3 linked regions of the Rhinolophus ferrumequinum genome follow. The protein of the gene in region 2 purifies or fractionates together with the protein of the main gene of each other region. This does not show direct contact. Links are inferred from orthologs where the notes say so. Each region holds a gene or a part of one and is shown on either strand. Other genes may lie near its edges. The genes, in order: NEK7, NLRP3 and USP50.

Region 1 (7,092 bases), on a different chromosome or scaffold from region 2:
AGAGGTGGAGGGAGACAAAGTAGGAAGATCTCTAGGGAGTCGTCCCACTTGGTTTTGTGAGATCACAGGATCTTGGTAACAATATCCCCTTTTCAGAGTAGATGCATGCACACAGAATATTCCAGAGAAACCTGCACTTTTAAAAATTATCTTTGGAATTCGATTATTGTGTCATCACACTCTGTTAGGGTAAATAACTGAGAGGTGATCAGGAACCCACAGTGAAAATTCTACCATTGTTGAGGACAGTGTCTCCTGTGAAAAGGCCTCCCCATTTGGCTCCACATCAAGGATGGTGTGGACAAGTGTGCAAAGGGAAATAATTTCTGAGTATATTTCCTTCATTGCTTTGACTTACTGACCGTCATCACATAATGGCCCTCGGGCTTTTATACTGAGAGACAAAAAGCATAAATTCAGTTGGATTCTGTTCACCAAAGGAAATCATGATATAAACCTAAACTCCTAATTGTACTCTTTCTTTCCTGTGGTGCAACCAGTATAAAATATCGCATTTCCCTACATAAATATATATATAAAATATATATAAAATTAAAATGTCTCCCCAGTTTTATAACTGCTACAGAAATAGCCGGGGGACCATCAGGTTGCCACTATTTTTATCTGAGAACTGACTGTATTCTCAAAATACCATAATTAGATAACTGGGACATCGCAGAGTTATCTGTCTGTGATTTTGGATTCTAGGCATTTGGATGTAAGGATACAATTCAGGCTGATTTGACTGTTTTAATTAGAAGCTTACCTGCATGATGTCTTAACACAAGTAAAAAGTAGCTCTCTAATATTTTTCATGAGTGTTTTCAAAGCAAGAGAAAGAGTTCTTTCCTGAAGCTGCACAGTGACCACAGCCAGGGCCAGACGAAAGCGATCTCCCTTGAGTCATGTGCAGTCTGCACTTTCACTTCCTCCGTTTGGCCCAGTTTAGTCCAGACATTTCAACAGCTTGACTAACCCTCATCGTCATTTAGCTGCCAAAGTCTGTGGCCGCCAATATCACTGGTAGCTTTTGAAGTACACGTGTTGCCAGCACTATGTTTGAGTCAGGAAGGCGAGACCTTGCTGGTCTAACCCTCAGTGGCTAGGATCTTTTTCAAAGGAGAATTATTTTTAATATTACTTCATCATCCTGCATCAGGAAAAAAGTTTTCTGGCAAGCTTCTCTCTTTCCAGAGAAATTGCATTGACACTGAACCTGGTATGTAACATCTGGTCTGGGTTAGCCTGTGGATAAAAAACAGTATTGATAATCAGTACTACTTCTAATTTATATTTTTAATTGGATGGAGCCAGCAAACCTATATAAATAACAAAACACGATGACTTGGTGTAAACCGATAGTTTTTTAGCGTAATAACCATTTACAGCCGGGTTAATCTGATAGTGAATGGTAGGTATTGCATGGTAATTAGGTATGAACACTAAGTAGCTCATATAAGGGACTGTCATGAAGGTGTCTCGTGGAGCCAAACAAGCATTTTGGAGCAAGCTTGGTGGGGAGATGAAAAGCAAAGAGTTAAAGCTGGACTCTGCTCTAATGCTCCCTGGGACCAGAGGAGCCTGTTTTTCCATTAGCATTCGCTCCAGGCCAGGGGCCAGTGGCCAGGGACAGGACTCCCAATTTACCATATGGGTCAGTAACGAAGAGTCACAAAGAGAAAGTACAGTGGATTCTGTTCTGACAGTCTTCCCAACCTTTCAGGCAAGATAGTACTCTTTAGTTGTAACTTTGTGTCTTCCAAGGTGAAGAAATAGGACACATACAGGTGATTTCAACAGATTGGGCACCAGGGAGCCACTGGTAGGGTACTTCCTAGGCTGTCTGGGGTCACTAGGGGTTCTTGAGCTCATTTTGATCCATTTGCCTACCAGTCAGTGTTATAAATGATGTACGTTTTCCTTACACGTGAAATATCTGGTCCTCAGATGAATCTGAAGTTTATTCCAACTGGGCTGTTTTATCCATCATCTATCTACCTACATTTTCTAAAAGGTAGTGCAGTAGGACACCATGGCTTGTATATTAGGTTGAAATGTCTTCACCCTGGGAGTCCCTGGTGACTTTTCCTGCAAGGTGTGCCTGTGTCTGACTCAAGTGACATTGTTCTTATTTGACTGATGGCTTTTGATTTGCTGTGACTTGATAGAACGATTTAAATTGTTTAAATGCCAGCATCAATGGCTTCATCCTTGCCGCCTTTCTTATCCCACATCCAGTCCACCGGCAAATCTTGTTGGCTGTATCTTAGAAATATATCTGGAATCTGACCATGCATATCGCCTCCACTGTTAGCACAATGTCTAGTCATCAATATCTTTACCTGACCATTCGAATAGTCCCATGACTGTGCTAGGGTCTCCACAGTGCAGTGCATCCTCCCAACCTAAGTCTGATATGGTCACTACTCCAACGGCTTTCCATCTCATTCAGAATAAATGCGAAAAGTTACAAGGTTCTACGTTTACTCCTACCCGTACCCCCACCTCCTCTGCCAATGTCATCTGCCAGCACTTACCTATTGTTCACTGGATTTTAGCTACACTGACCTCTGACCTCTTGGCCATTCCTCAAAGAAGCCAAGCCCACCTCTGGTGGGGTCTTTGCATGTGCTGTAAATGCTCTACTCCTGGACACGTGGCTCATTTTCTCACTTCCTTCAGGTCTCTGTGCAAATGTCAGAGATGCTTTCCCAGATAAACATATTTCAAACAGCAGCCTCCCCGCCACGTCTCCCTGCCCTGCTTCATTTCTGTATGAGTCACCATCTGACATAGCATGTCTTTATAGGCTTATTATTTATTATTATTATCGCTTGTTCTAGTGCAATGGAAGCCCCAGGAGACTTTGTGTCTTGCTAACTTGTTGTACCTTCATGCATTGTGACTCACACATTGATTTAAAACTTCCTGAGCCACTGGAATCAACATCTCCTGAGATCTTGAATTATTTTTTTTCTAAGCATAAACTTCCCAAATCTTAGTTCCATAGCTTTAAAATTTTAAGTATTTGATCTATAATCTCCTCATTTTTGGCCGGAATCCCTTTGGTGTGGAGGTCAAACTAGTAAAAGACGTAGGAGTAGTAACTATTTAATGAGTACTTCTTACATGCCAGGCTCTTGTGCGGAAGCACTCTGCTTTATCTCATCTAATTCTAACCGCAGGCCTAAAGATAGGTATTTATTACTACTGTGTTCTCCTTTTATAAACAAAGATTCTGATACTTCGTAGAGGTGAAATAACTTGCGGCCAGGTCACAGAGTTAATAACCGTCGAGCTGAGATTAGAATCAAGGTGGGGTTGATTCCACACTGCCTCCTAGCTGTCTCCTGCAGTAATGCGTGTCCAGTTGAAGTAGGGAAGCGGTTAGAATCAAAGCATTCCCTTTACAGCGACTGTGCTAAGGTGCTGGGGTACGTTCGTATGTATTATAATATATGTAACCTCCTCCCTCTAGGATTCCAGGTACCAACCCAGAGGTTGTTCACCTTTCGGAAATGTCCCGAGAGCCACTGTTCCTCTAGGTTGGGACTCTTACTTTAAACGCAAGGTTCGCTCAGAGCCGAGGTGGTTTACCACCTAGGAAGAGAAGAATGGAGACGTCACCAATTCGGCGTACCGCTTGCAAGTGCGGGTATTGAAATATAAGGGAACAAAAAGCAAGTTCTCCAAAGGCGGCCGACCCCCGTCTCCGAGGGAAGTCGGCCCGAAGGAGGGGAATAGGGCTGGGGGGGCCAGAACGAAGCGCCCCGCGATGCTAGGCCGGATAGCAGGAAGCTACGTGCCGGGAGTTTCGGCCCCAGCGAGGGTCCCACCGCTCCGCAGGGAGCCGCGCGGACATCACCTGGGACCACCGAGGTGTCTGCCTGCCGCAGCTGCTGGACCGCCGCGCAAGGCTCGGGGGCGGTGAGGTGGGCGTGGCCGGCGGCGCGGAGGCGTGGCCGGCGGCCGCCCCGCCCTCTCCTCGGGGATGCCGGGATGTTTACACTCCTGACAGCCGCGTCCGCGAGAGGAGGAGCGGGAGCCTCGGGAGGATGGGCCGCCGCTAGCCTCGCACTCGGGACGCGCCCTCGCCGTGCGCAGGGTGGGTGGCCGCGCCTGCACCGTCCGCGGGGGCGGCGCGGCGCGAGGTTGGCGATCGGCTCCGGGCCTCGCAAGCCAGAGCCCCAGGCCCAGCGGGCCTTTCAGCGGCGATTCCTGGCCCGGCCGCCCGCCTGCCCCGGGCCCCTCGCGGGCAGGAGAACTGACAACTTCCAACTTCCCGGTGAGTCGCTGCGGGGTCGCGGCGCCGGGCCGAGCGGTGATCCTGCGGGAGCCGGGCGGGGGTGGGGATGCGTCGGGATCGCGCGGGCGGCCTCCGGGTCCCGCGGCCGGGGAGGTGGGGCGGGGCTCGCCGCGCTGGAGCCCGACGCTCCGGCCCTGGTCTTGGGCAGTGGCGGGAGCTTCACGCCTGGCACCGGCTCTGGCGGCGCCGGCCACGGTAACCAAGAAACTCCGCGGCCACGGCGCTGGCTGCAACAGGTCTTGGGTTTCAGGACCCGAGGAACTTGGGTGAAGTCCCGCCTCCCGCCGCTCGGCGGATGCTCATTGGCCGCGCGGGTTATTTATTGCTCACGGATTGGTTAGGCCCAGCTGTCGGCCGCCAGACTTGGAAGAGGAAAAGTTCAGTGGGAGAGAGTGGGTGGTGGGCAAGTGTCCAGTGGCTGGAGAAGTACCGGGAGGATGACCAGCCTGTTGGAGAACGAGCTTTAGTGGGACTCCGACAGGTTCAGGAAACGTCAGAGAGAGGGAGTGCAAGGCGAACACTGGTAGTGATGGTGGCCGTGGAAAAGAAAAACCGAAAACTGAGGCCGAAGCTAGAGAGACGGAGGGTAGCCCAGAGGAAAAAGGAGAAAATAGGGGGCCACGTTGCCCCGGGGCAGTGTCAGGAGATGAGCACGACGTAGAGGACGCTGCATCCAGGTCTCAAGGACTCCCGTTGCCTCTTCCCTTGTGCACTGGAGGCCTGGGACACGATGCATCCAACTGATGAATCGTGTTCTCGCAGAGCCGTCGTCCTCGTTAGGGGTCAAGACTAAACGCGCGCTTATGTCACAGTAAGATAAGCTCCCATCCTTGAGCAGTTCTGGTGACGGAACTGGAATTCAGACACGTGTTACAGGCACGAAATGATTTTCCTCCTGTGAGACTGGTGATCTGAAGGATGCCGCTGAACAGTCAGATGCCCCTAGCTGGCAGGCATGGCGTACTCCTCGTAATGAGAACCAGTGTTTCGAGGGCCTCTTCCGAGGAATTGTGAGTTTCCCAAAGTGTGCACACGCCCCGCAGGCGACAGCTGCGTGCCTTGTCAGGTTGCATTACAGAATCAAGTACAGAACGTGTGTGCAGTACGTCTGTTCAGAACAGGAGCTTGGGCGGCTGCAGGATCGGCCGAAGAGTGGCAGAGCACTTCCGCTCAGAGGGTTTTTAGGGTACTTCGGGGGCGACCGGACCAGCACTGAACTCGGTGACTCAGTGAAGGAGACATGCCGCTCGCTCACCATGTGGCAACTCTTGCTGAATGGACGCGCCGGAGTTTGGGTCATAACACTTGGTGATAGCACTTAAGACGGTTGACGTAAAACGTAGAGTCATTTCATTTTCCGAGGAAGTAGTCTTCCGCAGCCCTCGGGGAGATCCAGCCCACAGCTGGCTTCCCCCTAAGACCGCAGCATCCTCTGTTTGCCTCCTGGGATGGGAGTTCGCGGGGTGGGGGAGAGGAGATGGAGCTTAAAAACGTTTGCCTCTGGGAGGCGTCAAAGGGACAGAAACTGTAGGTGGGAGAAGAGCCGGTGAAATAAAAGGGCGAAGCCCCTCTGTGGAGGCAGGTTGTTTTCTCGCGGGCTGGGGAAGCGGGGGACCCGAGAGGTGCTGGCATGAGATTTCCGCTCCACCGGGGAGGCCCCGCCCTCGCAGCACTGACAGCCTCCGCAGCCAATGAGCGGCTAGGGTAGTGCGGTTCCCGCTTGGGAGGCGGTACTTCCGAGCCCCTCCGGGAGGCCGAGAGAGCTCCTGCTGGAGGCATGTCTGCGGGCGGTGGAGGAGGCTCCAGTTTCCTCTCACCCCTCGTGCTTGTCTCCTTTCATAGTTAAGCTGCACCTTCGACTCACGACTGCAACTGAAACTTTATAGTCGACAAGAAACGAAGTTGGTCAGCAAACTGAATACCACCTCTGTAACTGATCGGGATTTTGCGAAATGATCTGAAAACGGAAACCAAGAAATGTCAGAATCTAAATCGTTAAGCGTGTTCACAGTGACTTGGGAATCTTTCCGCAGTTAAAAATCTTTGTCAGCTTATAAAGACGGTAACTTGACAAATTCATTTTATGATCAGAATTCAGGTATAATTATTTTGATCATTTCTGTGGCACCCTCCATTCCCTTTCCCACTTGCACATTTTGCTGGTGGGACAATCTCAAGAGCTTTTCTCCGGCCCAGTAAAACAGCACTTACTCCGAGAATGAGGAAAGCACGTCTGGTATGATGGCTTCATACCAGTGGAGGAGCGGAGACTCGAGGCCAGTCTGATTAACATACCCGAGTAGTAAAAATCAGTGAATGTTTCAAATGACCAGAAGTGCAGTTATAGTTTTGTGCACAGGAAGTATTTAACCTACGCCCCTCCCGTCATCTTCTGGTGTTGTAATCGACAGTTTTGGGCTCTGATTTACTGCAAACATTTGTGTTCTTTTCAGCTACTGTGCATTTACAGAAATGTAGATTCTTTTTTTTTTTTTTTCCACTTAGGTATGTGGCCTGAAGTAGCATTAGAGACTTTTACAGGGTATCTAGAACCAAACACTATTTTCCTAGGAAGCAGATCTTATGTTTTAAAATGTGTCTCTAGTATTACTAATGTAGCCACCACTGAGGGCATCTGGACTGAGAGAATAGTGATTATCTAATGCGTTTTGGAAAAGAGGTTGCTTAATTAGATAAATAAGTTCCAAATTTCCTTTCAGGTTTTGCTTACTTTATTGTTTTAAAAATAGGTTTTGGTATTTTAAAAATGTACAGTGTAGCTTCAG
Region 2 (7,421 bases):
TCTGGGGGTGTCCTGTGGAAACTTTAATAGAGCAGGTTTGATTTGAAGGGAAGGCGACCCAGCTACTGACTCTCTGTAGTTTGATAGTAGTTGGGGTGTTTGGGAGATCTGGAAAGGGTCCCTTCTGTTTAGAAGTTAATTGGGCTGTTAGAGACCCCTCCCCCTCTAGGCTTTTAATAGTTCTTGGTCCCCACTGTACAACTTTATGACTTTAAGGGGCTATAATGTGTAGAGGAGTTGGCTTGGGGGAAGTGCCAGTCCTTATATTTTGAGTGCCTGCTGGACTTTTCCCAAGTTAATATAGAAAATAACAGAATTGAGGTCAGAATCCACAGCAATGGGCAGCAATTAGAGCCAGGGCTTAGAGGTCTCCTGACAAAACTTTTTCTAGAGTCCTTTTTAAGTGTGATTTGCTTATTTTATACTTTTTCTGCAACATAGGCCAATGGTAAGGAATAGGCGGAGTAAAATGAGCCCAAATTTAGGGGGGTTTATTTTTACAACTGAGTAGGTTTTAGAGGAAATAAATAGGTCCAGAGTGAGTGGTCAAGAAAGAATAAATAGCTTCTATATTAATCAGGAAATTTACAGGCTTACCTGCCACGTCAACGGTCACCCTCAGTTCCACCCTTGTGATGAGAAGAGCTTGGGAGCCTCTGGGAACTTCAGGTCCAGCAGTGATCACAGCCATTTGTGGGGAGGGAGTTGGTCTCTGCTCCCTTCAGAACAGGGGGCAGTCCCTCCTCCAGTGCCCTTTTAGTTTGCAGTGGGACCATGGCTGGTTTGGAGGAGTAGGACACTCCTTACTCCAGTGGCCTGGCGTTTCCTCTTCTGGGGTTTCTGGGGGGCCCTGAGGTGGCTTCAGCCCTGGGTTGTCTACAACTGCAGCCAAAAGTCTGGCCTGTCTCTGGCTTTGTCTCTAGTTTCACTGTTCCTTTATTACTTGTTTATCCTGCTTCAGTTGTTAAAGATATTTAAACAAATTTCCTGACCTTTTCTAGATTCTGTGGCTTTTTATTAAGATGCAACAATGGGTCGGAATTATTATAATTTGCTGTCAGGTGAGGAAAAATATTAAGTCAAGCTTAATGAATTTACCCTAACTTATCTAGGTTTTTGGTATAAAACAGTTAAATTATTTTTTTTAATAGTTGTTTATATCTGACATGAGAAGGACACATGAACACCAGTAGTCCTAGAATATAGAAATTATTGCAATAACATATATCATCTTTGTTTTTTAGGTAGAAAACCTTTTATATTAGTAGTAGACCAATAGTCTAATAAAATTTGTCTTACTTAGCAGAGAGAGAAAAATCAACTTGAGTTTTGTACTACCTTTACAACCTTAATTTATACTAATAACCAAAAGCAAGTAATTAGCTCTTTCCCTGGTAAATCGAGGGATATATTTTGTAACCTTTAAAAGCATTGACTTTTGTAATGCAATGCATGACATATTCATTAACAGATCTTAATTTCTCTTTTATTATTCCTGTTACAAGAAGCCAGAAATAGGTAAACTCAGACCTAGCCAATAATTGATATTTCAATATTTTGCTATTTTGAAATACCTAGATAGTTAATAACTTTCATCATTTAACACAACTTAGTAAATCCAACAAACCAGTCTTAGTATCAAATATTTCCTTAGATCAGGTGATCCTGAGAAGTAGTTGAGTTAGTTGTTATTATCTTAATTAATATAAGCACTTACTCTCTTATTTTTAGCCAATCAAATATTATAAACTGGCAATACCATCTGGAGGCAAAACCATTATTATATAAAACAGACAAGTACAGACCTTAGAGACTACATATGTAAACAGAACCACCAACACTTGCAGAGAGGACCTAAGATCTTATAGTTGCCCTTCCAACTTCAGGAGGCTGTAACGGAGTGGGGGCGCTTGCCGCCTGGGTTTAAAAGTGCCTCTTTTTTTCTCTTCAGTTACCTCAGCCTCAAGTGGAGGCTGCAGCAGCCCTTTGTTTACATTTGAGGTTATCTGCAAGACCTTGAAAGTTACTGAGAGTTAGAGAAATCTTTTAAGAATTACCACCTTTTGTCAAGTTCTTGAATATAGTTGGTGTACAAAACAGTTTTAAATACATGACTTAGAAGGCTCACAGAAGGTATAGATACAGAGCTCCTGATCAGCTTGGTGTCTAAGACACAAATAGAAAAGGAAAAGGAAAAGAGAAAAGACAGACTAGAGGCAAATAAAACAAATAAATTACATAAGCTAGTACTTACAGAACTAAATCCTCCTGAAATGAGGAGCTGGAGTTTGGGGGAGAAGGTGTAGGCTGAGGGCATGGGGTGGACGAGGAGAGACCCAATCGATCTTCAGCCGGGTCAAAGGAAGGAGTTTTATCTGGAGGAGGAGAAGGCTTAGAGTGCGCTAGGAGAATTTGGAATGTATTGTAGGTTTGGCAGAGGGAGAGTCGAGCTCAAAGAATAAAGAAGGCCTGCACATAGGGAATTTCTGACCATTTTCTGTTGTGGTGACAGAAGTTAGATAGGGGTGAGGCAGTGCTGTAGTAAAAGATAAGTCCTGTGGGTCAGATATCCTGTAAGATGAGCCCAAGGGAGTGTAAGTTGTGGAGGGGACAACCGAGAGGCGTAGATTTGGCAAGGACCAAATGTGAGGCCCCCATGGTTTGAAGAGATAGAGTGACAAGGGTGAGAAGAGAGCTTCCTGTTAGGAGGAGCACAGGGGTGAGGCATCTCCCGATTCCGGTGTCCGTCCTCCTCGGGTTTGGATATGGTAGACCGCTCCTCAGAACAGCGTCCTCAGACTGGGAGGATCTGGGCCCCCGGGGCCTGGAGGAACTTTCTGGCCTAGCTCTAGGACTTTTGGAAAACTGGAGAGTCAGCAGGTCCGAGGAGAGAATAAGACGTCTCACTCACCCGGTGTGAGAGTCTGGCCGGATGTTGTCTGGGATGTCAGCAACAGAAGGGAGAAAGTCCCCAAGCACATCCTTACGGCAGGTCTGGGAGGGTAGCCAGAGAGCAGATCAAGCAGGGGGGAGAGGGGAGTAGGGAGAAGAGAAAGAGAAGAAGCGATCCTGCATTCTCTGGCCTAAACCCTCCCGGGTTCTGGCACCAAATGATAGGTAGGCTGGTAAAGGAACGCACATGGTCAGGCAAGCTGAGAAAGTTTATTAAGAGAAAGCCTGTCGGGCGGAGCAAAGATGGCTACAGCCCAGACTGTGCGTCTAAAGGAGACCTGCAGCCCCAAGGGAGGGGGTGAGGAGAGTTTTATAGGGGCTGTGCTGACAGGGTAGCACTGTTTGAACAGAAAATTCTGACTACCTGCAAGCTAGTAGCTGTTTTGTGGTGTTTTCTGTTTTTCGCAAGTTTGGCTCTGTCTGCAGGTGCAGGCCAACAGACATTTTGTTGTTTTCTTGCAGACGTGGTTCTGTCTGTAAGTCAAGGTCTCTGAGACCTAACATTCAGAGACCTAACATTAAGTCAAGGTCTCCAACATTCAGAGACCTAACAGCAAGAATATACAATAGGGGTAAAGATAGTCTCCTCAATAAACTGTTTTGGGAAAAATGGACAGATACATGTAAAACAATGAAACTAGACCACTTTCTTATACCACATACAAGAATAAACTCAAAATGCATTAAAGACTTAAATGTAATACCCAAAACAATAAAACTACTTGAGGAAAACATAGGCAGTAAACCCTCTGACATTGCTCTTAGTAATATTTTTTCTGATGTATTTCTTTGGGCAAGGGGAAAAAAAGAAAAAGAAACAAATGGGACTACCTCAAACTAAAAAGGTTTTGGACAGCAAAGGAAACCATCAACAAAACGAAAAGACAAACTATTAAATGGGAGAAGATATTTGCCAATAATACATCTGATAAGAGGTTAATACCCAAAATTTATTAAAAAAAACTCATACAACTCAATACAAAAAAATTCCAATTAAAAAATGGGCAGCGGACATGGATAGACATTTCTCCAAAGAGGACATACAGGTGGCCAAAAGACATATCAAAAGATGCTCAGTATGACTAATTATCAGAGAAATGCAAATCAAAACCACAATGAAATATCACCTCATTGCTGTCAAAATGGCTATCATCAATAAATCAACAAATAGGGCCAGTCTGGTGACTCAGGCAGTTAGAGCTCCATGCTCCTAACTCCGAAGGCTGACGGTTCGATTCCCACATGGGCCAGTGGGCTCTCAACCACAAGGTTGCCAGTTCAATTCCTCGACTCCCGCAAGGGATGGTGGGCTATGCCCTCTGCAACTAGAAACGGCAACTGGACCTGGAGCTAAGCTGTGCCCTCCTCAACTAAGACTGAAAGGACAACAACTTGAAGCTGAACGGCACCCTCCACAACAAAGATTGAAAGGACAACAACTTGACATGGAAAAAAGTCCTGGAAGTACACACTGTTCCCCAATAAGGTCCTGTTCCCCTTCCCCAATAAAATGTTAAAAATAAATAAATAAATAAATAAATAAACAAACAAACAAACAAATAACAAGTGGTGTGAGGATGTGGAGAAAAGGGAACCCTCGTGCACTGTTGGTAGGATTGCAAACTGGTGCAACCGCTATGGAAAACAGTATGGAGATGCCTCAAAAAATTAAAAATAGAACTACTTTATGACTCAGCAAGTTCACGCCTGGGTATTTATCCAAAGAAACCCAAAACACTAATTCAAAAAGGTGCATGCATGTGTATGTTCATTGCAGCATTGTTTACAACAGCCAAGATACGGAAGTGAACTAAGTGCCCATCGATAGATGACAGGATAAAGAAGAGGTGGTGCATATGAGAAAGGTTCTGTGTCACACATCACTTCTGGTATGGCAATTTCTGTCAAATAAAAACATTACGGTGTGTCCTCATGCAACTTAGACTGTGCAGTCAACAGAAAAACATCCAGCCTGAGAGAAAGCTTATAAGAGTTCATTTGAGCCAAACTGACAACAATTGCTGGGAAGCAAAATCTCAACGGATTGAGAAAATGCTCTGGAAAATGGCCATTTTGCAACTTATTTTTATACATTAGAATCAAAGGAGGAGGGTTTCATGAAATCCATTGGTCGTAGATTAAGGGGGTGGGAGAAAGCAAAGCGGGGAAATCTCTGGGATTGGATAAAAAGCAAAATGGAGAGACACACACTTCTTTTACATTGGTGGGTACAGGATAGTTAATAGCATTTTACAGCACAGAGAGATGGTATTTAGAAAACAAGATAACAATGAGGGATTTTGTAGTTTCCTGCTCTGGTGCGGTGGGTTGTGCCCTCTGGGAGGTCTGAAGGAAGAGATTACTCTTATATTCCAAGGGTATGTTATCTTAGATGCAAAAAGACGACAGACAGGTTCACGTAAGGTAAAGATTTACCTTTGCCAAGGAAGCAACAGGTGAGGATGTGACTTCCCGCCATGGCCCACCTTACTGAGGAATTTTTATGTTCACACCATCCTCTGTGGTTATTTTCAGTCTCCTGAGCTTGTCAGGTTTAAATGTGGCCCCTTTTTCATTCACATTTCCCCCTTTTGGTCATAAATCAATTCGAATAATACATTGATGACCAACCTTTTGGTTGGATAGTGTGGTCCCACGGTGCTAGGAGGGCTCATTCCTAGGAATCTTAGTGTCGGCATTTGTCCTGCTGAATGTTGGACCATTGTGGGTGGGGCAAGACCATAACCTTAGATGGCAGTCAAGGCCAAATTATTTATTTATATTTAAAAGAAAAGGTGAGCAAACAGGAGGCAGTCAGATCCTATATGTCTTCATTAAATATATTCTGGATCATTTCTAATCTTTGAGCTATCATGATCCAAGTTTTTCCTCTGTCTGTCTTATGTTGTTTTTTTGCACCTAATATAACATGTACAAACTAGGAACAAGAGCAATAGTATTAAACCAGTAACACTGATTAGGAGCAGAAAATGTCCAATATTAGACAAGTATGAGTCTGAGCGGAGCAAACATCCTAGCCAACCAAAGAACCCTTCATTTGCATTATCATAATTTTTTATTAAGCTAATATGTTTCCCTCCCTCGTCTACTGCTATTTGTACCTTATGACAAGTTCGGCCAGATAAATGAAGAATTTACTATTTCATGATCGAAAAGCTCTAATTTTTCTTCTGGTCAATTAGTTTCCATAGAAATGACTTCATGGGGAGGAGTAAGTTCAATTTCCCAGTACACTGGATTTTCAGTATCAATATTGTTATAGGCAAAGTTAATTTGGCTGTGATTTCAGTACTACACCGTATTCCCATAGCATTTACTATAAACCTGGTATTATTACAGTAGAAATCAGTTAGTATGACAGAAGAATTTTCTAACCCTTCCCAACAAAAACGTCCCCTTCTCATATAACACATATTGTTGTTTGTTGAGGTGGATACAATAGGCCAGGATTAGGTAAATTCAGAATTCCATATAGATTGGGGACATAATCATTCACCTTTTCAGTTTAATATGGCCTATCTACTTTACATTGGAAGCGCTCATGTGTCATTCATTAATCTGATTTCTGCTAGTTGTATAACCGGGACCTGTATCTTTAAGGTTTAATAGGGGCTAAGAACACAATGGTGTAAGTTACAATTACTACCTGAACATTTCTAGAGGCCAAGAGGACAGTAGAAGTTTCATAAATAAATTTTCTGTGCCTTAGCAGCCATTATAGAGGGATATATATATATACGTATATATGTACATATATATATATATATATATATATACACACACACATAGATAGATAGATAGATAGATCTCCACTTCAGCTTCTATCTGAATTAATATCGTTAGTAGTCTTTGTAAAGATTGGGGCTAAGTATAATTGGGTTCTAATATAAAATTCCTTTCTCAATATTTCTTTTCCACTAACCTTCTATAACTTCACTTGTCCTTCTCAGTTTGTCTCCTTTCCCTCATTCAGAAATAATCAACTTATTAGGACAAACTACTTCCTTTTAACTTCTCTCAAAAATACACACACATCCCTTTTCTTCTTTCTACAATAACATTTCTTTTACATTTCAAAACCATAAATATAGTATTATTGATAATAAAGAAGTTATCTAATACGACTTGAGCAATTATTAACAGTCGGGCTATATAAGTACAGGTTTTGAAAAAAGCCTAACAAACAAGTATAACTATCATTATTACTAATATTATTAGCAGACAGTTAAAGACAATCAAACAATGGTTGTTTTAAGTTCAGTATCAATTATGTAGATGTACAGGCCTTCTCGATGTCTTGGGGTAGCTGTCTAACCCTGATGTCGGCAGCTTCTCATCCTTGAAGAGTCTTTGGTATCCACTGATAGGTCCCTTCCGACAAGGTTGGAGAGCCTTTGTCCAATGGACAAAATCTCCTGGCTGTGAGCCGTGGTCTTTGCAGTCTTCGT
Region 3 (8,033 bases), on a different chromosome or scaffold from region 2:
GAGAATGATTAACGGATATACTTTGTGATCTTTTATGCTAAATATTTCCTGGATGTTAGCTATGAGGTAAGCTAACACCGCATAAGGACACTGCATAAAGTCAAGGACACATCTTTGGAAAATGAGGGTGTCCGACCATGGCTGAAGGAAGTGAGACTTGTAAACAAGGATAAAACTCTTAGTAATGGGCAATTTCATGTTTTATTAAACGTATGTTGTACTCAATGAAGAATTCAGGTTAGGCATGTTTGGTATGAAGGTGAAACTTTGCAGTATATAGATCTGTCCTTTAATCTAATGACAAGTGTAACAGTTTCTTGGGTTTGTACTTGCCAAGAACATTTATTTTAGGTTGTAAAGTTCTACGTGTCATATGTCATAAGGAATATATTTTTACAAAAAAGTGATTTTCACTTAAAAAAAAATCCATGCAGATGTTATGTGCAAAGGGAACTAGATTAATGGTCCCAACACCTGCTGATCACCAGAAATACCAACGGAGCTTTCCCAGAAGACAGTCCTAGACATTCTAACTCGGTAACACCAGACCAAGGGCCTTAGAACCTGTGTCGTAAAAATCTTCCTACTTTGATGATCAGCAAAGTTTGGTAAATACAGACCTATTCGAATACTAACTGGAATGTTCCCCCACAGTACTCCCAGAACCTATGCTTGGCAGAGTAGGCAATATTGATTGAACAAAACAAAAGAATGAAAAATGAAAGTTGCCCATAAAGCTGAAGGTCTATCCTATTTCAAGGCCATTAATTCTACTTACCTTTTTCAGAGATTCATGAAGTTCGTTCAGGACATAAATCAAGAATTCCTGAGCATCTTGCTGTGTCTTCTTCGTAAATGCTGGGTAGAGGTTGCCAAGAGCTGACCGAAATATTTCTGGTGAGACACAGTCTGAGTCTCCAAGCCACATGTCTGTCATCACATAGGCAAAAGCAGTGGCGACCTCACTGCAGTTCCTTGGGAGAAGGAAGGGAATGTTTCTGGCTGATTTAATGAAAAGAAGGCACCTAAAAACTCAAGCATCTGGACATTAGACCCCAAACAAAGCTTCATTAATTTCTTGGTTGACCTTCTTGCTTTACTCACCCTAGAAATGGTATCTGGGGTACTGCAGCCTCTACTGACTTGTTTAGCCTTTAATAGGGATTCCAGAGTGTTCCTTCCCTAACCTCACCGTGGGGAAACAAGGGGAAGGGGCTGGACTGCAGGGAACGCAAATGGTCTTACTTTTGAAGAGCAGTGATGTACTTTCCAGAGAGAAAGTAGTCCCTCAACGGTGAGATGCTGCAGAGACACTGTAAGATGGCATTCATGTAGCATGTGTTGCCCAAGTTCCGCAGGCCAGTCACGCCCTGGAAATGGGGCTGGTTCTCATCAGCCTCCTTAACTGGAAAGGTATCACAGTGATCTGTGCAGTCTGCGCTGTGTTGGTGCCATGTGGAAAGAAAGGACAGCATTTTGAGGGACCGAAATATGTACATATGACAATAAGGCCCTCTCAACCTCATGACACAAAGGAGAGTTTGTAGTAAGACCTCCGTCAAATAAATTCCCTACCAAGGACAGAAGTAATCTAACTTGGAGTCTAAAATTACATTACTTAGTCCAGAACTCTTGGAACAGTGCCAGCAGCCAAATACGAAGAGAGAAAAGTTTCTTCGTAAAACCAAAGCAAGAGGACAGAAAATATCAGCCTTTCAGAATCTTAGAGTTGTTTGGCTACCAATGTAAACTTTCCCTCTGAATACCAAAGTATTTCCCTTTTTTGCTGGGCAAGTTATTTAATTATTATTAGTAGTAACAATATTAGATAGTACTTAATAGTAACAATAGCTATCTTGTATTGAGCTTGGCACTATGTTAAGTACTTAACATGTATTTTCCCATTTAATTCTTTCAATAATTCTTGGGGGTAGGTACAATTATTTTTAAATCCTGTAATAGATGAGATATCATGTTTAAGTGGTTTAGTCATCTGCCTATGGCAATATACTAAGGGATGTGCAGTCGTGGAGAGAAGTATATGTCGAGAGAAGGAATATTTGTCTACATACCTACGTACCTACTGGCCATCTGTCTGTCAAGTTATTTGGATTTATATATCATATATTAAGAGTGTGTGTGCGTGCGTGTGTGTGTAAATATATATATATATATAGAGAGAGAGAGAGCGTAATGTAGACACATATTATATACTCATACATATATTAAGAGCACATATATGTGCATATTATATATATACAAATTACACACATACACACACTGGAAAAGGAAGCGTAAGAGCCTAGACTTTGTAAAAAACAGATCTCAGTTTAAATCCTGACTCTGCCACTATACTACTTACATGATCGGAGACTTAATTCTTGTTTCTCTTCTGTAAAATAGGAGTACTGCTGCCGGCCATATCGGTTTGTTGTGAGGATTAAATGATGCAAGGCACGTGGCACTGATTACATAGTTAAGTGGTAACCTCAAATCTTTTTAAAGAAGTCACTCATCTAGAAAGTCCTTAACAGCAAGCTATCGAATTAAAGCATTCGTGTGAATCAACCAGACCTGCGCAGAAGAGGGAGCACTGTGGCCGCCCAAGGAGTCCTTGCTGCCAGTTTCCTTTTGTAATTTGACTCTTCCACCAGGCAGCCCAGCGTCTTTGTCCTTTATTATTTGTCTTTCTAGCTCAAGTATTTAAAATGGCGTCTCCATGAGATCGCTACCTCACCTCAGTTCCTCTATTTACAATTCTGCCAATTTGAAAAGAGCTCACTGTTACATGAATGGCCATTTTCACTTTTATTCGCCTTTGCTATGGGAGGACCTGGACTGTCAGTTGCCTGGGTATTAAATAACATCTTCGATTCCTTTTGGGGGACCTCCAATGGGTCAAATCTGGGGGAAACCTCCCAAATGTGGCATGTGCCCCCCCCCCCCGACTCCTTTGGCATGGCTTCCCCCCCGCCCTCCTGAGCTTATCTAGAAAGCTGTAGTAGATGGAGGCTCACAGGACATAGTAGATACTGAAGTCATCTGTGGGGAGAGGCTGCTGCGAAGTCATTGCAGTGAAACCACGTCGGACTTTTCACTTCTATTCAGGAGCTACAGCTAATCCTTTTAACTTCATTCTCTGAGCCTGTTACTTTGGCTCTTTTTGTTTGTAATAAACAATTTGTATGTCCCCCACCTCCCCTTTAGTAGCTACAAACTGATTTTCATCTGTCCTTCAGGAACATTCCAACTTGGATTTTCCATGCATCATAATCCTTTCCATTCACCTTCAATATTCTAGCTTGTTGCCATGAGATACTGTTACTTGGTTGCTTCAAAACTTTTAGATTAGATTACAAAGAATGAGCTAAATATATAACATCTCTTCATCACTCATTTTCTCTTGTGTATATATATATCACACACACATGCGCGCGTGCGCACTTCAGTGGACATTATGGTAACCCTGCCCACTTTGGGCACTCACCCACTGTCCTCATGATGGCGCCACTCCCAGGACCACGAAGGACTGTTTCTCACCCAGGGGAGGGAGGTAGTTGGATTTTGCTGCTTCTAAAAATGCATGGCATTGGAATAGATTGAAACATTTCCCTTCATGGCCAATTGTAGTGCAAAGTGGGTGCATGTGCGCACACACACATAATCCCACTAGCGCCATGCAGGGCAAATATAAATAAAGGGTTTATCACAAAACAATTTATAAGTTAAGAAGTAGTAGAGCACACACAATCTCCTGAGCTCTCATTTTCTTCATAGAGAACTGTGCTTTAGAAAGCTCTTCAGTAGGGAGGAGCCTACCCCCACCCCAACAATGAATGATATACCACATTTTATCCATTCATCTGTTAGACATTTGGGTTGTTTCCACTTTTGGGCTATTATCAATAATGCTGCTATGAACATTTGTGTAAAAGGTTTTGTGTAGACACCATTTCAGTTCTCTAAGGTATATACCAAGAAGTAAAATTGCTGTGTAATATATGGTAACTCTATATTTAACCTTTTGAGAAACTTTCAGGCTGTTTTCCAAAATGGCTACACCACTTAAATTCCTGCCGGCAATGTATGACGGTTCAGATTTCTCCACATCTTTGTCAACACTTATATTTTGATCCTAGCTATTTGAGTGGGTGTGAAGTGTTATTTCATTGTAGTAGTTTTGATTTGAATTTCCCTAATGGCTAATGAAGTAGAACATCTTTTCATGTGTTTCTGGACCATCTTTTATGTCTTCTTTGGAGAAATATCTGTTCAGATCCTTTGCCCAGTTTTAAATTGACTTGTCTTTTTACTGATGATTTGTAGTTCTTTATAAAATTTCTTTATCAGCTACATTACTTGAAATTTTTTTTCTCTCACTCTGAGTTGTCTTTTCACTGTTGATGATATACTTTGAAAAACAAAATTTTAAAATTTGGATGAATTTCAATTTGTCTATTTTTATCTTTGGTTGCTTTTGTTGTTGGTGTCATATATCTAAGGAACTATTGTCTAATCCAAGGTTACAGATTTACCCCTATATATTCTTCATTTGTCTCTTAAATCCATTTTGAGTTAATTTTTATATACAGTGTGAAGTAGCGGTTCAACTTCATTCTTTGCATGTGGCTATCTAGTTGTCTCAGCACAATTTTTTGAAGACTATTTGTCCCCATTGAGTTGTTTTGGCATCCCTGTCAAAAATCAATTAACCATAAATTTCTGGACTCAATTTTATTTTATTGATCTATATGCTGTAAAACACTGTCTTGATTACTGCAGCTTTGTATGGGGAGGAGTATCTTAATAGCCTTTTTAGGTAATTGTGGATATTCTTATTTGAGACAACACCAAAACTAGACAAGTAGTAGTTTTCCAAAAGTCAACTAACTGCTATATAGAATCTGAAAGCCTTCTCTAGTCTGCTAGATCTTTCACTCATGCATCATTTTAAATATCATGCATAGGTCATTTGGAAAATATTGGTTGTTACATGGATCTTCCAAACATTGACACATTTCTTTACACAATATCAAAAACAACCATTATTAAATCAACACTGATTTCATTAGAAAAGTATTGAGAATTTGTCACGCTACTGGTGTTAAGAGGCAAGTTTTCCAAAATTCCAATTGTCTCTACGAAGTTCAAACTTTAGCATTAAAAAGTAGTTATTCTTTAGCCAAATACTGAGGTCTGAATAACCATTGTCTGTCTGCCAGTCATGAAATCTTTCAAGCAGAAATGATGTTAAATGAAAAAAGTGACTAGTTCAATTTGCAACTCACACAATTGCTTAAGTGCTTTTCTTTGAGACAATCATCTCATTTCATTATGCAGCAGAAGTGTTTTATGACTATTTCTCATTTTATTCCACATAATATTAAAGACATGCATACAAGAGTCAAGGTTAAAAATTAACTTACTTCATCAAATACTTTTTTAAAATTAAAACTTAATGGGGTGACAATGGTTAGTAAAATTACATAGGTTTCATGTGTACAATTCTGTAATGCATCTACACATCACCTTGTGTGTAAACCACCCAGTCAATTCTCCTTCCATGACCATTTTTTGACCCCCTTTACCCTTTTCTACTATCCCCTCTCCTCCTACCGCCTGGTAAACATTGTCTCTGTCTCTGAGTTTTTGTTTCTTCATTTGTCTGTCTTGTTCCTTTGTTGTTTTCAGTTTTATATGCCACATATCAGTGAAGTCATATGGTTCTCAACTTTTGCTGTCTTATTTCACTTAGCATAATAATCTCAAGATCCATCCATGTTGTCCCAAATGGCACAATTTCATCTTTTCTTATGGCTGAGTAGTATTCTATTGTGTATATATACATCTTTTTTATCCAATCATCTATCAAAGGACACTTTGGTTGTTTCCATGTCTTGGCCATCGTAAAAAAAAGCTGCAATGAACATCGGAGCATATATCTTTACAGATAAATGTTTTCAGGTCTTGGGGGGTATATACCCAAGAGAGGGATTGCTGGATCATATGGTAATTCTATTCTTAGTTTTTTGAGCAACCTCCACACTGCCTTCCATAGCGGCTGCACCAGTCTGCATTCCCACCAACAGTGCATGAGGGTTCCTTTTTCTCCACAGCCTCTCCAACACTTGTTACTATTTGTGTTGTTGATTCTAACTGGTGTGAGGTGATACCTCATTGTGGTTTTTATTTGCATTTATCTGATGATTAGTGATGTTGAGTATCTGTTCATATGTCTGTTGGCCATCTGTATGTCCTCTTTGGAAAAATGTCTGTTCAGGTCTTCTGCCCATTTTTTAATTGGGATGTTTGTTTTGTTGTTGAGTTGTATGAGTTCCTTATATATTTTGGACATTAGCCCCTTATTGGAGGCGTTTACAAAAATTTCCCATTCTGTTGGTTGCCTCTTTATTTTGTTGATGGTTTCTTTTGCTGTGCAGCAGCTTTTCAGAGATGTTTTAAATGAAATGAACTGTTTTTCTTAAAACTGTGGTGTGAAGCTGAAGAATATAACGACCCTTGTAGTTTGGCGTTCCTGCCTTGATTCACACTAAGGTACCAGCAATTTTACCCATCAGTGATTTTGCGCCCTTTAGTAGTTTCAAACTAGTGAAAAGGCAAATACTATCTTAGAATTATGAGTTTTGACCCTGTGGACCCATGAAAAATGTCTTGGGGACCTTCAGGGTCTGCGGTCCACTTTGAAAACCAGTGACCTAATTAATAAATCTAGGCAATGACGATCAAAAAGACAATCAAACCTGTATTTCTTAATGGAAGTATATACACCACCACCAATGAAGCATTCTTGTCAGAAATATAATCTTGAATTCTGACCAAGCCTCCACACCTAACAATTAATTTATGGCATATACAGGAAAAAGAAAGATGTAACAATGTAACATGACACCTAATGGAAATAATCAGCAAAATCCTGAATGCGGGAAACTTCTTAGAATAAGCTGGTTCTTCAAAAAATAAATTAAAAAAAAAAAGATGGGAGAAGAAATTTATATATTAAGAGACTTTAAAGACAAATCAAGTAGCAATGTATCTTATCTGGGTCCTGACTCAAGCAAATTGCAAAAAATTTTTGTTTGAGAATAATTACATTATCTGATGATATTAAGGAACTTAATTTTTTAGACGTAAGGATATCATAGTTCTTGTATTTTAGAAACATATACTGAGACACTTATAGTTAAAATTAAAGTTTCATAATGCAGGATTGCACAGAAATTCCAAGGAAAAACCAAGTAAAGTCGTGAATCCCGTAACAATGGGAATATGGATCACGATTTCATCATTGTGCAAACATCACAGAGTGCACTTACACAAACCTATGTGGTACAGACGACTACACACCTAGGCTATTTGGTAATAGTCTGTTGCTCCTAGGCTACAAACCTGTACAGTATCTTACTGTACAAAACAACATGAGACTAAACACAAGAGAAAATGACAAATCAAGAGCCATAGTAAACAGGAAAGGTATGAGGTTGCTGCTAGTGACATACTGTTTTATAGCAAACTTTTTTCTTGTGAGTAGAAAGAGGACACTCTGATTAAAAATACAGTAAATACATAAAGCAGCAAGTTTTTATAAAGTATTATGTACTATAATTGTGTGTGCTATACTTTTATACGAGTGGCAGTACAAGTTTGCTATACATGCATCACCACGTGAGTAATGCATTTTGACAGGAATTCTTTGGCTCCATTATTATCTATGGGATCACCCTGGTATATGCAGTTGTCATCAACCAAATATTGTTATGCGGTCCATGACTGTAAAGGATAGAGCTAAATGTGGGGTGGAGCAGCGCATGAGAAAAAGTCCCTGTATGTCTGGTGCTGTTTACTGAAAGCTGGACTATGTAGCTTCTCTGAAGAAAACCCTCCTGGCCCAAGATCACCAAGGTGAAATCATAGACCCCCAGAAACAAACTCTGCTTGAGGGATTTCTGAAGAGCCTAGAAGAAGGAAATATATTCCAGAGAGGATCAGAACCTTAGCTTGGGATTTTTCCTAAG

The links.
Region 1: the proteins of NLRP3 (region 2) and NEK7 purify together in Homo sapiens (affinity purification with western blotting; 9 studies listed by BioGRID and IntAct, with this or other methods). This does not show direct contact. The link is inferred for Rhinolophus ferrumequinum from reciprocal best matches to the Homo sapiens genes NLRP3 and NEK7.
Region 3: the proteins of NLRP3 (region 2) and USP50 purify together in Homo sapiens (affinity purification with western blotting; 3 studies listed by BioGRID). This does not show direct contact. The link is inferred for Rhinolophus ferrumequinum from reciprocal best matches to the Homo sapiens genes NLRP3 and USP50.

The regions. Positions count from the first base shown.
Region 1 is NC_046310.1:2,689,433-2,696,524, reverse strand, and holds the start of NEK7 (serine/threonine-protein kinase Nek7), read left to right. Parts: upstream 1-4,004; 5' UTR 4,005-4,285; intron 4,286-7,092. UniProt on the Homo sapiens protein: Protein kinase which plays an important role in mitotic cell cycle progression. Required for microtubule nucleation activity of the centrosome, robust mitotic spindle formation and cytokinesis.
Region 2 is NC_046307.1:1,051,605-1,059,025, forward strand, and holds the start of NLRP3 (NACHT, LRR and PYD domains-containing protein 3), read right to left. Parts: upstream 3,008-7,421; 5' UTR 2,255-3,007; intron 779-2,254; 5' UTR 598-778; intron 1-597. UniProt on the Homo sapiens protein: Sensor component of the NLRP3 inflammasome, which mediates inflammasome activation in response to defects in membrane integrity, leading to secretion of inflammatory cytokines IL1B and IL18 and pyroptosis.
Region 3 is NC_046289.1:57,045,308-57,053,340, reverse strand, and holds the start of USP50 (inactive ubiquitin carboxyl-terminal hydrolase 50), read right to left. Parts: upstream 3,071-8,033; coding exon 3,018-3,070; intron 1,441-3,017; coding exon 1,246-1,440; intron 975-1,245; coding exon 779-974; intron 1-778. UniProt on the Homo sapiens protein: Deubiquitinating enzyme that removes conjugated ubiquitin from specific proteins to regulate different cellular processes. Regulates the inflammasome signaling pathway by deubiquitinating 'Lys-63'-linked polyubiquitination of the PYCARD/ASC adapter protein.